Linked DNA regions of Sus scrofa. The protein of the gene in region 2 interacts with the protein of the main gene of each other region in a biochemical or structural test. Links are inferred from orthologs where the notes say so. Each region holds a gene or a part of one and is shown on either strand. Other genes may lie near its edges.

Region 1 (3,517 bases), on a different chromosome or scaffold from region 2:
CAGGCAGCCTCCCAGGCTCCCTAGATGGGGCTGGTCAGTGCTGCTGGCCTTAGGACTTCCTGACATCTGACTCCCGCCAGAGAGCCGGGCAGCCGGACCTGGAGCACCTGGCTGGCAGGGGCCACAGTGAGAGCCCTGGACCAGAGCTGTGTGGACCTGTCTCATGTCCCCAGGGCCTGATGGAGGCGTTGGGGAGTCGGGGGCAGCTCTGACAAGAGTGCCGTTCCCTTCCATGTAAATCAAAATGAAAACCATGCCATGCACACTAAGGGTGCCAGAGCCCCACTACATGAGTCTGAGGATCATTTTTCTATACTGTGAGCTGCCAGGTTCTTTTGATACTTTCCTTGTTTCTCCTGGTGCTCCTGCTCTGCCTGTGCCGTTTGCATGGCTGCCTTATATGTCCCCCTACAGGGGTGGGGGTGGGGGTCCTCCCAGTTTTGCTGCCCTCCTGAGTAGCAATACACAGCCCCTGCAAGCCTCAGTTTCTCCTTCCAAGGTGAGGGCGTGTGACCCTTACCTGCAGGCTCTGGTGAGCAAGTGGACACCCATTTCCCCCACACTTCCCACTGGATGAGTGTTAGGTCGGGTGCGATGAAGGTTTATGCCTCAGTGGATCCCACAGCCTTGGCTTATTCTCTCTGCACAGGATAACCAGACGGACAGTGGGATGGTGCTGGCCTCTGAGGAGTTTGAGCGGCTGGAGAACAGACACAGACAAGAAGGCAAGCTCAGGTAAGGCGTCTGGAGCCTCCTCCCCTGCCAGAGACCAGGGGAAGGAGGCCAGGCTGGCATGTACCTGTCGCTCTCTTACTTGACACTTACACAGTTCCGTGTTGCCTTTTTGTGCGTCCAAGGCCCTGAGACTTGAGGCCTTAGTCCACCAGCCTCCCCAGAGGACCTCCCTCCCCCATCACCGTCCTGACCCAGTGCACCTGGGGCTGGTTCCCAACCCTCTCTTCCATTTGACAGTTGCTCAGAAGACGTCTCTTTGTGAAACCAAGAATGATGCAGTATGCCAATGGCACCTACCACCCCTCTCCCAGCCAGGGGAGCCCAGCACCATCCCTGATCCCCAGCCCTTAGCCTGGTGGCCACAGGAGCCAGCAGATCACGTGACCCAGAGCTGACTTGCACCCTACTTTGATAGGAATGTGGTTCCAGAGAAATCCTCCTGTGCACCTGCACAGAGGGCGACCTGAATAGATAGTGAGCTCTATTTGCCCAAGAAGATAGCTTCCTCCTCTTAACAAAACAGACAAAACCCAAAAACCCAAAAAACCAAAAAAAAAAAAACCAAAAAAAAAAAACCAACCCCACAAGAACACAAAATCTGAATATTTCTGAATATTTAAACTTTGAAGGGTATATATAAAATAGTTAAAAGTCTACTCATTCATTTGATCAGTTGACTGGCTCATAGCTGTTTACATGACAGGACCTACACTATCATATAAAATGCTTTTCCACTTTCTTAAGACACGTGTTCAGATCATTCAGCTCCACCTTTGATACCTGTGCCTTTGACATAGTTTCTCCAGAGCAAATCTTGACTTCTGCATGGGTTGTTTGGGAATTGGTATGTGAAGATGTCACTGAATAGTGCGCCCTAGACCACAGGTGTGACTTGGTATCATGTTAGGATAGTTGATGTCATTTTTTACCTTTCGGGTGAGGGGATTGAAGACCTCTGCACCTTAAACCAACTATCTGTTATTTTCCCAGCAGGCTGTGAAGGGCATGTTTGCAGCACGTGAACACAGGTGGTTGTGGGGTCATATGCCTGGGGACAGTTACCACATACATATCATGCATCTTGGCCTCCAGTTGTGTTTTTATTGATTCTATTGGGTGATCTCTAATAGTAAACTAGTTTTGGAAAATGAATGCTAATTGCATTGGCAGAAATTGTTTCTGGCTAATGCTTCTTTCTGTTTGTTTGTTTGTTTTTGTCTTTTTAGGGCTGCACCCACGGCACATGGAGTTTCCCAGGCTAGGGGTCGAATCGTAACGCCCGGATCCTTAACCCACATAGCGAGGCCAGGGATTGAACCCACAACCACATGTTCCCTAGTTGGATTTATTTCCACTGTGCCACAAAGGGAACTCCAGGTTTTATTCTGAGAGTGACTGGAACCCATTGGAAAGTCAGCCAGGGGACTAAGGACATCGTCAAACTTGAAGGTTCTCTGAAGACTGGCCTACAGGGAGGCATGAGTGGGAGAAGGAAGATGAGCTAGAGCCGTGAGGAATGTGCAGTGATGGGCCTCTCACTCTAAGGCAGGGGCAAAGCATGGAGAGAAGTGCCGGGATGTATTGCAGAGTAGAAAGGACAGGACTCCTGGATGGGCTGGATATGAGGGATGCGGGAAAGGGAAGAAAGGATGACACCCAGGCACTTAAGCCATTGAACCATGTTGATGCGCTTCGTGCCAAGACTGGAAGAGAAGTAGGTTTAGTGGGATGAAGTTGGGCTTCTCCATTGTCCCACGCCCAGGCTTGGGACAGAGAAAGCTCTGGTGTTTGCCAATAGTCACATGGGTTTGTTTTTCTGTTTAAGTCAAGTCTGTATGTGTTCCCATTGGCTTTGCGCCCACTCGAGGCTCTGGTTGTGTCCTTCGTGATACGGATCAAACCCTGACCCAGCTCCAAGCTCTCTTCTTTTCTTACTGACACCACCTTCCTTGTCTTGGCAGCTGTAAAGGACCTGGCAGGAATGCGGATGTGACTGCAGTGCACCCTGACCCCCAAGGGCGGTGGCGGCGGCCAGACCGGGGAGCCCGGGGTCAGGTGTTCTACAACAGCGAGTACGGGGAGCTGGCAGGGCCACAAGAGGAGGGCGACAGCACCCCATCCACCCATGTGCCCTTCTTCACAGACAACAGCTACTAAATCAGCTCTGGGCAAGGCCCCCCTGGACCCTGGGCTCTTGACAGTCGGTGGGGGCCATGCCTGGCAAGGGAGCAGAGGGCCAGAGGCCCAGGCTGGGAACTCATCTTCTTTAGTTCGAGCCAGGAGGCATTTCCTCCTCCTTAGCTGGGAAGAGCAAAATCTAGGCACCAGGGCTGCCCTGCACTCCATCACCATGCCTGCCCAGGCCACCCTGCAGACCCCTGGGGCCCTTCTCCCCTTCAGATTCCGACTCCACTTAGCTCAAAGTCCACAGGGGCTGACCCTGAGCTGGTCACGCTCCTAGGCAGTCTCTTTGGATGCCTCCTCCCACCATGATGGGTGGTGTGATCCCTAATTTCTTATGAGAAATACAAGGGTCTGAGGGTCGTATGGTGATGGAGGTTGAACTGTGTCTCCCAGCCTCCACCCCAAATTCAGCCCCCTCCACGCAGCCCTCCCTTCCCTTGGGATCAGCTTTCTTCACTCGCTTCTCCAGGGCTGAAGAGAGGGCACTTGTATTTCCAGCTCAAAGTAATGAATGAGGAATTTGTGTGGGGCAAGAAGGGGAGGTCCTCTCCTGAACCTGGCCAGAGCCCAGAGCAGGCGTCTCTGCAGTGCCAAGCCA
Region 2 (3,233 bases):
GGTGGGGAGCGCTGGGTGGGGCCGGCTGTCAGAGAGACAGGTGAGCAGGACCCGGGAGCTCAGCAGGGGCTCCTGCTGCGGAGAATGAGGGCGAGGGCCCCGTCTGTGCGTGCCCCCCGCCTTCCCCCCGAGTTCCCTGACAGCCTCTGCTGTGCCCCCAGCCTGCCACATCCTGGAGTGTCCCGAAGGGCTTGCTCAGGACGTCATCAGCACCATTGGCCAGGCCTTTGAGTTGCGCTTCAAACAATACCTCAGGAACCCGCCCAAGCTGGTCACCCCTCATGACAGGTGAGCAGGCGAGCGGTGGGGGGGGGCAGCTCTCGGGCTGGGACCGGAATTGGAAAAGTAGGTCTGCTCTTCCCACGCTTGAGCTCAGAGAGGAGCAGGGAAGGAAATAACCTGTGAGCCCCTGCTTCCCACTTCCTGCTATTCTTACGTTTCCTGAGGCCATGGGGAAGGCCTTTCGAGGCCCTGCCTGCTGCCAGGCCAGCTCTTCCTCTCGGGTGCCCGTGCTGGAGCTGTAGTCCAGGGCCGCCCGCTCCAGCTCTTCCTGGCTGGATGGGCTTTCCTAGTCCCAGCCATCTCTTTCTGGCCTGTCCCTCTCTCTTGCCCATTTCTCCATATTTAGTGCCTTCTTGCCCCTAGAAGCCATCAAGAATTTGGGCGAGGGAGCATGGCTCTTTCCTGAGATCCTTACCTCTCCCACTTCAGACCAGCAGTGTTGAGAATTTAGGGGAGGTTAAAATATTCCAGAGGGAGATTCTGTTGTGGCTCAGCGGTAACAAACCCGACTAGTATCCATGAGGATTCAGGTTCAGTCCCTGGCCTCTGTCTCTGGGTTAAGGATCCGGCGTTGCCGTGAGCTGCGGGGTAGGTCATGGCTTGGATCTGGCATTGCTATGGCTGTGGTGTAGACCGGCAGCTCCAGGTGCAATTTGACCCCTAGCTTGGGAACCTCCATATGCTGTAGGTGGAGCACCCCAAATAGTGGTGCTGCTTCCCCTCCCTCTTGGGAGACAGCATAACGATCGAGGGCATGCCTCTAAAGTCAAATTTGAACTTATGTCTCTCAGATTCACCACTTTTTATTTTATTTTTTAATTTTTTAAATTATTTATTTATTTAGTCTTTTGAGGGCCACACCTGTGGCATATGGAGGTTCCCAGGCTAGGGGTAGCATCAGAGCTGTAGCTGCCGGCCTGCGCCACAACCACAGCAACACTGGATCCTTAGCCCGCTGATCGAGGGCAGGGATCAAACCTGCATCCTCATGGATACTAGTCGGGTTCGTTCCCACTGAGCCACGACAGGAACTCCTTCACCACTTTTTTTTTGTTTGTTTGTTTGTTTTAGGGCCACACCCATGGCAGATGGAGGTTCCCAGGCTAGGGGTCTCATTGGAGCTGTTGCTGCCAGCCTACGGCCACAGCCACAGCATCGCAGGATCCGAGCCTCGTCTGTGACCTATACCACAGCTCACGGCAACACCGGATCCTTAACCGACTAAGCGAGGCCAGGGGTCGAACCGGCAACCTCATGGTTCCTAGTCGGGTTCGTTTCCACTGCACCACGACAGGAACTCCCTTCACCAATTTTTAGTTGGGAGACCAGGGTAAATCTTTTCACCCCCGACCCTCCCTCATTTTCCTCATCTACAAAATCGGAGAAGGAAATGAAACCTACCTTCTAGGGTTGCCAGGAGGAGGACATGATTCCATATATAAAACACCCCACGTCAAGCCTGCCCCTCAGGGATTGCGCAGTCCATGGCCGCTGTTCTCTTCTCCCTCCGTCCTCCCTCCCACGTGCCTCTCTCCTTCCTGTCCCTCCCAGGATGGCTGGCTTCGATGGCTCAGCTTGGGATGAGGAGGAGGAAGAGCCGCCTGACCATCAGTACTATAATGACTTTCCGGGGAAGGAGCCCCCTCTTGGGGGGGTAGTGGACATGAGGCTTCGGGAAGGAGTGCCCCCAGGGGCTGCTCGACCCACTCCCCCCAGCGCCCAGACCCCCAGCCACCTGGGAGCCACACTGGTGAGTTGCTTGGGGGGGAAGTGGGCTGGGCCCAGGACGGGAGTGGCTGGTTAGGGCCTCTGGCCTCACCTGATTTTTTGTCCCTTCAGCCTGTGGGGCAGCCTCCTGGGGGCGACCCAGAAGCCCGCAAACAGATGCTGCCGCCTCCACCCTGCCCAGGTAGGAAGGGGGCTGAGAGGGGCAGAGCCGGGGTGTGCGAAGCAGGGCGGGGGTCGCTGTAAAGCCTCCCTTTCTTCAGCAGGCAGAGAGCTCTTTGATGATCCCTCTTATGTCAACGTCCAGAACCTAGACAAGGCCCGGCAAGCAGGGGCCGGGGCCGGGCCCCCCAATCCTACTATCAATGGCAGTGCACCCCGAGACCTCTTTGACATGAGTAAGTGCGCCTCTGTCTTTCCTGCACCTGCCTCTTCCCGCTGGGTTCCTCTTCTTCTTTTTTTTTTTTTTTTTTTTTTTTTTTTTGTCTTTTTGCCATTTCTTGGGCCACTCCTATGGCATATGGAGGTTCCCAGGCTAGGGGTGGAATCGGAGCTGTAGCTGCCAGCCTACGCCAGAGCTACAACACCAGATCCAAGCCGCGTCTGTAACGTATACCACAGCTGACGGCAATGCCAGATCCTTAACCCACTGAGCAAGGCCAGGGATCGAACCCGCAACCTCATGGTTCCTAGTCGGATTCGTTAACCACTGAGCCATGACGGGAATTCCTGGGTTCCTCTTCTTTTCCTGCTTATCTGCTCTTTCCTTCCTGGCTTCCCCTCCCTGAAGGTCTGGGCCCTGGGCATGTGTCGTGCCAGCCCCCCTCCTAGCCCTCTCTCTGCACCCCCAGAGCCCTTCGAAGATGCCCTTCGGGTGCCTCCACCTCCCCAGTCGGTGGCCATGGCCGAGCAGCTCCGAGGGGAGCCCTGGTTCCACGGGAAGCTGAGCCGGCGCGAGGCCGAGGCACTGCTGCAGCTCAACGGGGACTTCCTGGTGCGGGAAAGCACGACCACACCTGGCCAGTACGTGCTGACCGGCTTGCAGAGTGGGCAGCCCAAGCACCTGCTCCTGGTGGACCCTGAGGGTGTGGTGAGTGTGGCAGAGGCATGGGTGGCGTGGCAGGAAGGACGGTGCAGCACCCTCCCGGGCAGCCCTGTTCTTGCCCTCACTGCTTCCTAGACTTGGCCCGACGGGCACCTCTGTCTGGGCCTCTCAGGTGCCTGGC
Region 3 (3,517 bases), on a different chromosome or scaffold from region 2:
CTGATGTCAAGGAAGAAAACAACATTAAATAACTTCATATTATGCCAAACTGGTAAAGAATTTTCTGAAGACCCTTCAAATAAAACAGTAGAATCAAGAGCACAGAGGAGAATCCTGTAAATTTAAGAAACTAGGTTAGACTCTCATTTACTCTATCACATATGTTCTTAAGATAAAAAAAATAAAGTACGTGTGAGCTGAAGAAACTAAAGAGGCCACAGTATGGATGGTACTGGGTCAGAAATGGAAAAAGTGATCTTTCAAATTTACAGTACTTATTTTGCATGCATATTATAAATAGCAGTCTGTATGTGTCACAACCAACGTTCACTGACAAGTAAAAGACCAATGATAATCAATCAGTAAGTAGCTTTCATGTTTATGTATTTGCTCAACTTTATGGTCTAAGATGGCGGCCATGATAATTTTTAGCAGACTAAAGAGTTTCAAGAACCAATAATATATCTTGGGAACTTGGGGCATGCATTATCTTGAAATGCTTAGACTACTTAAAGAAGAGAGTGATTAACTAAATATTAGTAGCACTGCTGATTAGATATGGAAATATCCCACTTACTACTGACTGAATTAAACCTCCCATATTCTGCTGAGTAGTTGCCATGTTGCTCCTTGGTTAAATTCAGAGTTGAAAGGAGTCTTATTTGTAAGCATTTGTGAAGAGAATTTTTAAAAGTTATTTTGTAGTTGGAAGATCATATAAAATATAACATACATGGGTAAAATTAAATGGCCAATCAAGCCATTTTACAGTATTAGTGTCATAGTCACTTTTTTTTTTTTGTCTTTTTGCCTTTTTTAGGGCCACACCTGCAGCATATGGAGGTTCCCAGGTTAGGGGTCTAATCAGAGCTGTAGCCACCAGCCTATACCACAGTTCATGGCAACGCCAGATCCTTAACCCTCTGAGCAAGGCCAGGGATCGAACCTGCAACTTCACGGTTCCTAGGTGGATTCATTAACCGCTGAGCCACCACGGGAACTCCTGTGTCATAGTCACTTTAAGTAATTCTGTCTTCCCTAAATAATTTCTAATTATTCAGTCATATAAATTTTTGACCCATATAAATACTAAGAGCTATAAGAGAGAATTTTCAGTTATGATAATTGAAATATTTTGAAAACACCAAAATTGATCTAGTAATGTAATGTGATCAAACTAAGGTAACAAAACTTACTTAAAAAATAGTATTGAAAATAATGACATCCTGCTGTAGGTTCTAGAGTAAGGTATGAAATAAAACATAACTTCTTAGAACAGTGACTGGCACATAGTAAAAATATTTGTGTTAGATACTATTAATTATTACCTTTTTCAGCACCTGAATGTATTGTTCCTGCTATATCATGTCTAGCAATGGACATTGGTAATACTTTCCTTGTAGAAATGTTTTCAGTACTAGCGGCAGCAGAAACTGTGGCACTTGCTGTTGAAACACTGGTTTTATTCTTGGTCACAGCACCATCAGAGTTCCTTTCATCTGAGTCCGAGTCATCAGAGTGAAGAGGATTAGTAAAACTGAGGGGTGCTCTGAATAGAGGGGAACTGTTTTGATGATCTGAGAGATCACGGGTTTCAACTTGTGTTGTAGGACTTGGCGTTAAACTCACAGTTTTCTTTGTTTGACAGTGGGTATCTGAGGATTTGCCTTCAGATGAATCAGGCATAGGTGGAGTATTTTCAGGTCCATGCAATGACCATGTTACACGTCCTTTCTCATCAAGAGGCAAGCGGTCTGGCCTTGGAGGTGTGTCTGAATTCTTCTGTAATTCTTCCGGTAAAATAACTGGAGCTTTATTCGACTGTGTTGCACTGCAGTCCACACAAGAATTCTGGGAAATATCATCAACTTTTAGATCCCTTGAACTCAATTCCTGTGACTTAGAGATTTTATCGGTAATACAAGGTGAAGCCGAAGCTGATTTAATTTTAATTGCATGTCCCCTATTCAAGAGTGTGTTCCCATCAAAGCTTTTTGGTCCCTCTTGGAGAGGGACCTTCTTAATCTCAAAACTTAAATTGCGCTCCAATTTTTTATCTATCTGTTCAACAGCTGATTCGTTTTTTGCTGTAAGTTCTGTTGATTTATTATAGTTTCTGTTGAGGTCTGTTGAATGTTGTTCTGATGAAACCATGTGCAACACTGGCTTTGGATGATATCTGTCATTGTCCTGCCACACAGTAGTGACTGTTGGAAAAGCTGAAGGGGGAGAAGGTGTCAAGATTGGTGGAACTGGGTGAGGTTCCGGAGGCTGCAGTATCTCCTCCTTAGCATCTCCTTCTACAAGGCAACTGAAAAACATTAAGAAAAGGGTACTGTGAGAATGTTCATCCTTTGGAGTTCCTGTTGTGGCTCAGTGGAAATGAATCCAAATAGGAACCATGAGGTTGAGGGTTCGATCCCTGGCCTCGCTCAGTGGGTTAAGGATCTGGCATTGCCGTGAGCTGTGGTGTAGGTTGCAGACGCAGCTTGGATCCTGCATTGCTGTGGTTATGGCATATGCTGGCAGCTACAGCTCCGATTGGCCCCCTAGCCTGGGAACCTCCATATGCCACAGGTGTGGCCCTAAAGAGCAAAAACAAACAAACAAACATCCTTAAAAAAAAAATAAGTTCATAAGTAACAGTTATGTAGCTGAGCCTCTTATATATTACAAGTCAGTAAAGTCTGTGGTTATGAATAAAAAATTAAAATTTGCCAAACTGGGAGTTCCCGTCGTGGCGCAGTGGTTAACGAATCCGACTAGGAACCATGAGGTTGCGGGTTCGATCCCTGCCCTTGTTCAGTGGGTTAATGATCCGGCGTTGCCATGAGCTGTGGTGTAGGTTGCAGATGTGGCTCAGATCCCACATTGCTGTGGCTCTGGGGTAGGCTGGCAGCTACAGCTCCGATTGGACCCCTAGCCTGGGAACCTCCATATGCTGCGGGAGCGGCCCAAGAAAAGGCAAAAAGACGAAAAGACAAAAAAAAAAAATTTGCCAAACTAAGAAAATTTAATGTTTAAAAAGGTAGTAATTTCATTGTTTACACTAATTTAAAATGTCAAATAATACAAGGATTCTTACTGAAAAAAACAGCAATTCCCTCCCACAGCCTTCCAGTTACCCTGAGACATCAAATTTCAACTTTTTAAAAAGAGCTGCTTCTAAGATTTACCTCCATATTTCAAAATGCATAAATTATTGTTACTTGATCTTTCCATTTCACACATACTGTAGCAACTTCTTACTATATAAATGTCTTCTCCATCTTCCCAATACTGTTACTATGGATAGGTTAATTTTTTTTTTTTTTTAATCACTATTTTAGGGCTGCACCAGTGGCAAATGGAGGCTCCCAGGCTAGGGCTTGAATTGGAGCTATAGCTGCTGGCCACAGCCACAGCCAGAGCAACATGGGATCTGAGCTGTGTTGGTGACCTACACCACAGCTCACAACAACTCCAGATCCTTAACCCACTGAACAAGGCCAGCTGGCCACAGCCACAGTCAGAGCAA

What was found. The genes of interacting proteins can lie anywhere in the genome.
Region 1: the proteins of SHC1 (region 2) and FLT4 form a complex in vitro, tested with the Homo sapiens proteins (2 studies listed by BioGRID). The link is inferred for Sus scrofa from reciprocal best matches to the Homo sapiens genes SHC1 and FLT4.
Region 3: the proteins of SHC1 (region 2) and PTPN12 form a complex in vitro, tested with the Homo sapiens proteins (2 studies listed by BioGRID). The link is inferred for Sus scrofa from reciprocal best matches to the Homo sapiens genes SHC1 and PTPN12.

The regions. Positions count from the first base shown.
Region 1 is NC_010444.4:78,110,498-78,114,014, forward strand, and holds part of FLT4 (vascular endothelial growth factor receptor 3), read left to right. Parts: intron 1-649; coding exon 650-735; intron 736-2,696; coding exon 2,697-2,892; 3' UTR 2,893-3,517. UniProt on the Homo sapiens protein: Tyrosine-protein kinase that acts as a cell-surface receptor for VEGFC and VEGFD, and plays an essential role in adult lymphangiogenesis and in the development of the vascular network and the cardiovascular system during embryonic development.
Region 2 is NC_010446.5:94,825,832-94,829,064, forward strand, and holds part of SHC1 (SHC-transforming protein 1), read left to right. Parts: intron 1-161; coding exon 162-288; intron 289-1,833; coding exon 1,834-2,032; intron 2,033-2,121; coding exon 2,122-2,191; intron 2,192-2,270; coding exon 2,271-2,405; intron 2,406-2,858; coding exon 2,859-3,097; intron 3,098-3,233. UniProt on the Homo sapiens protein: Signaling adapter that couples activated growth factor receptors to signaling pathways. Participates in a signaling cascade initiated by activated KIT and KITLG/SCF.
Region 3 is NC_010451.4:102,490,739-102,494,255, forward strand, and holds part of PTPN12 (tyrosine-protein phosphatase non-receptor type 12), read right to left. Parts: exon of another isoform or gene 2,312-3,517; coding exon 1,329-2,311; intron 1-1,328. UniProt on the Homo sapiens protein: Dephosphorylates a range of proteins, and thereby regulates cellular signaling cascades. Dephosphorylates cellular tyrosine kinases, such as ERBB2 and PTK2B/PYK2, and thereby regulates signaling via ERBB2 and PTK2B/PYK2.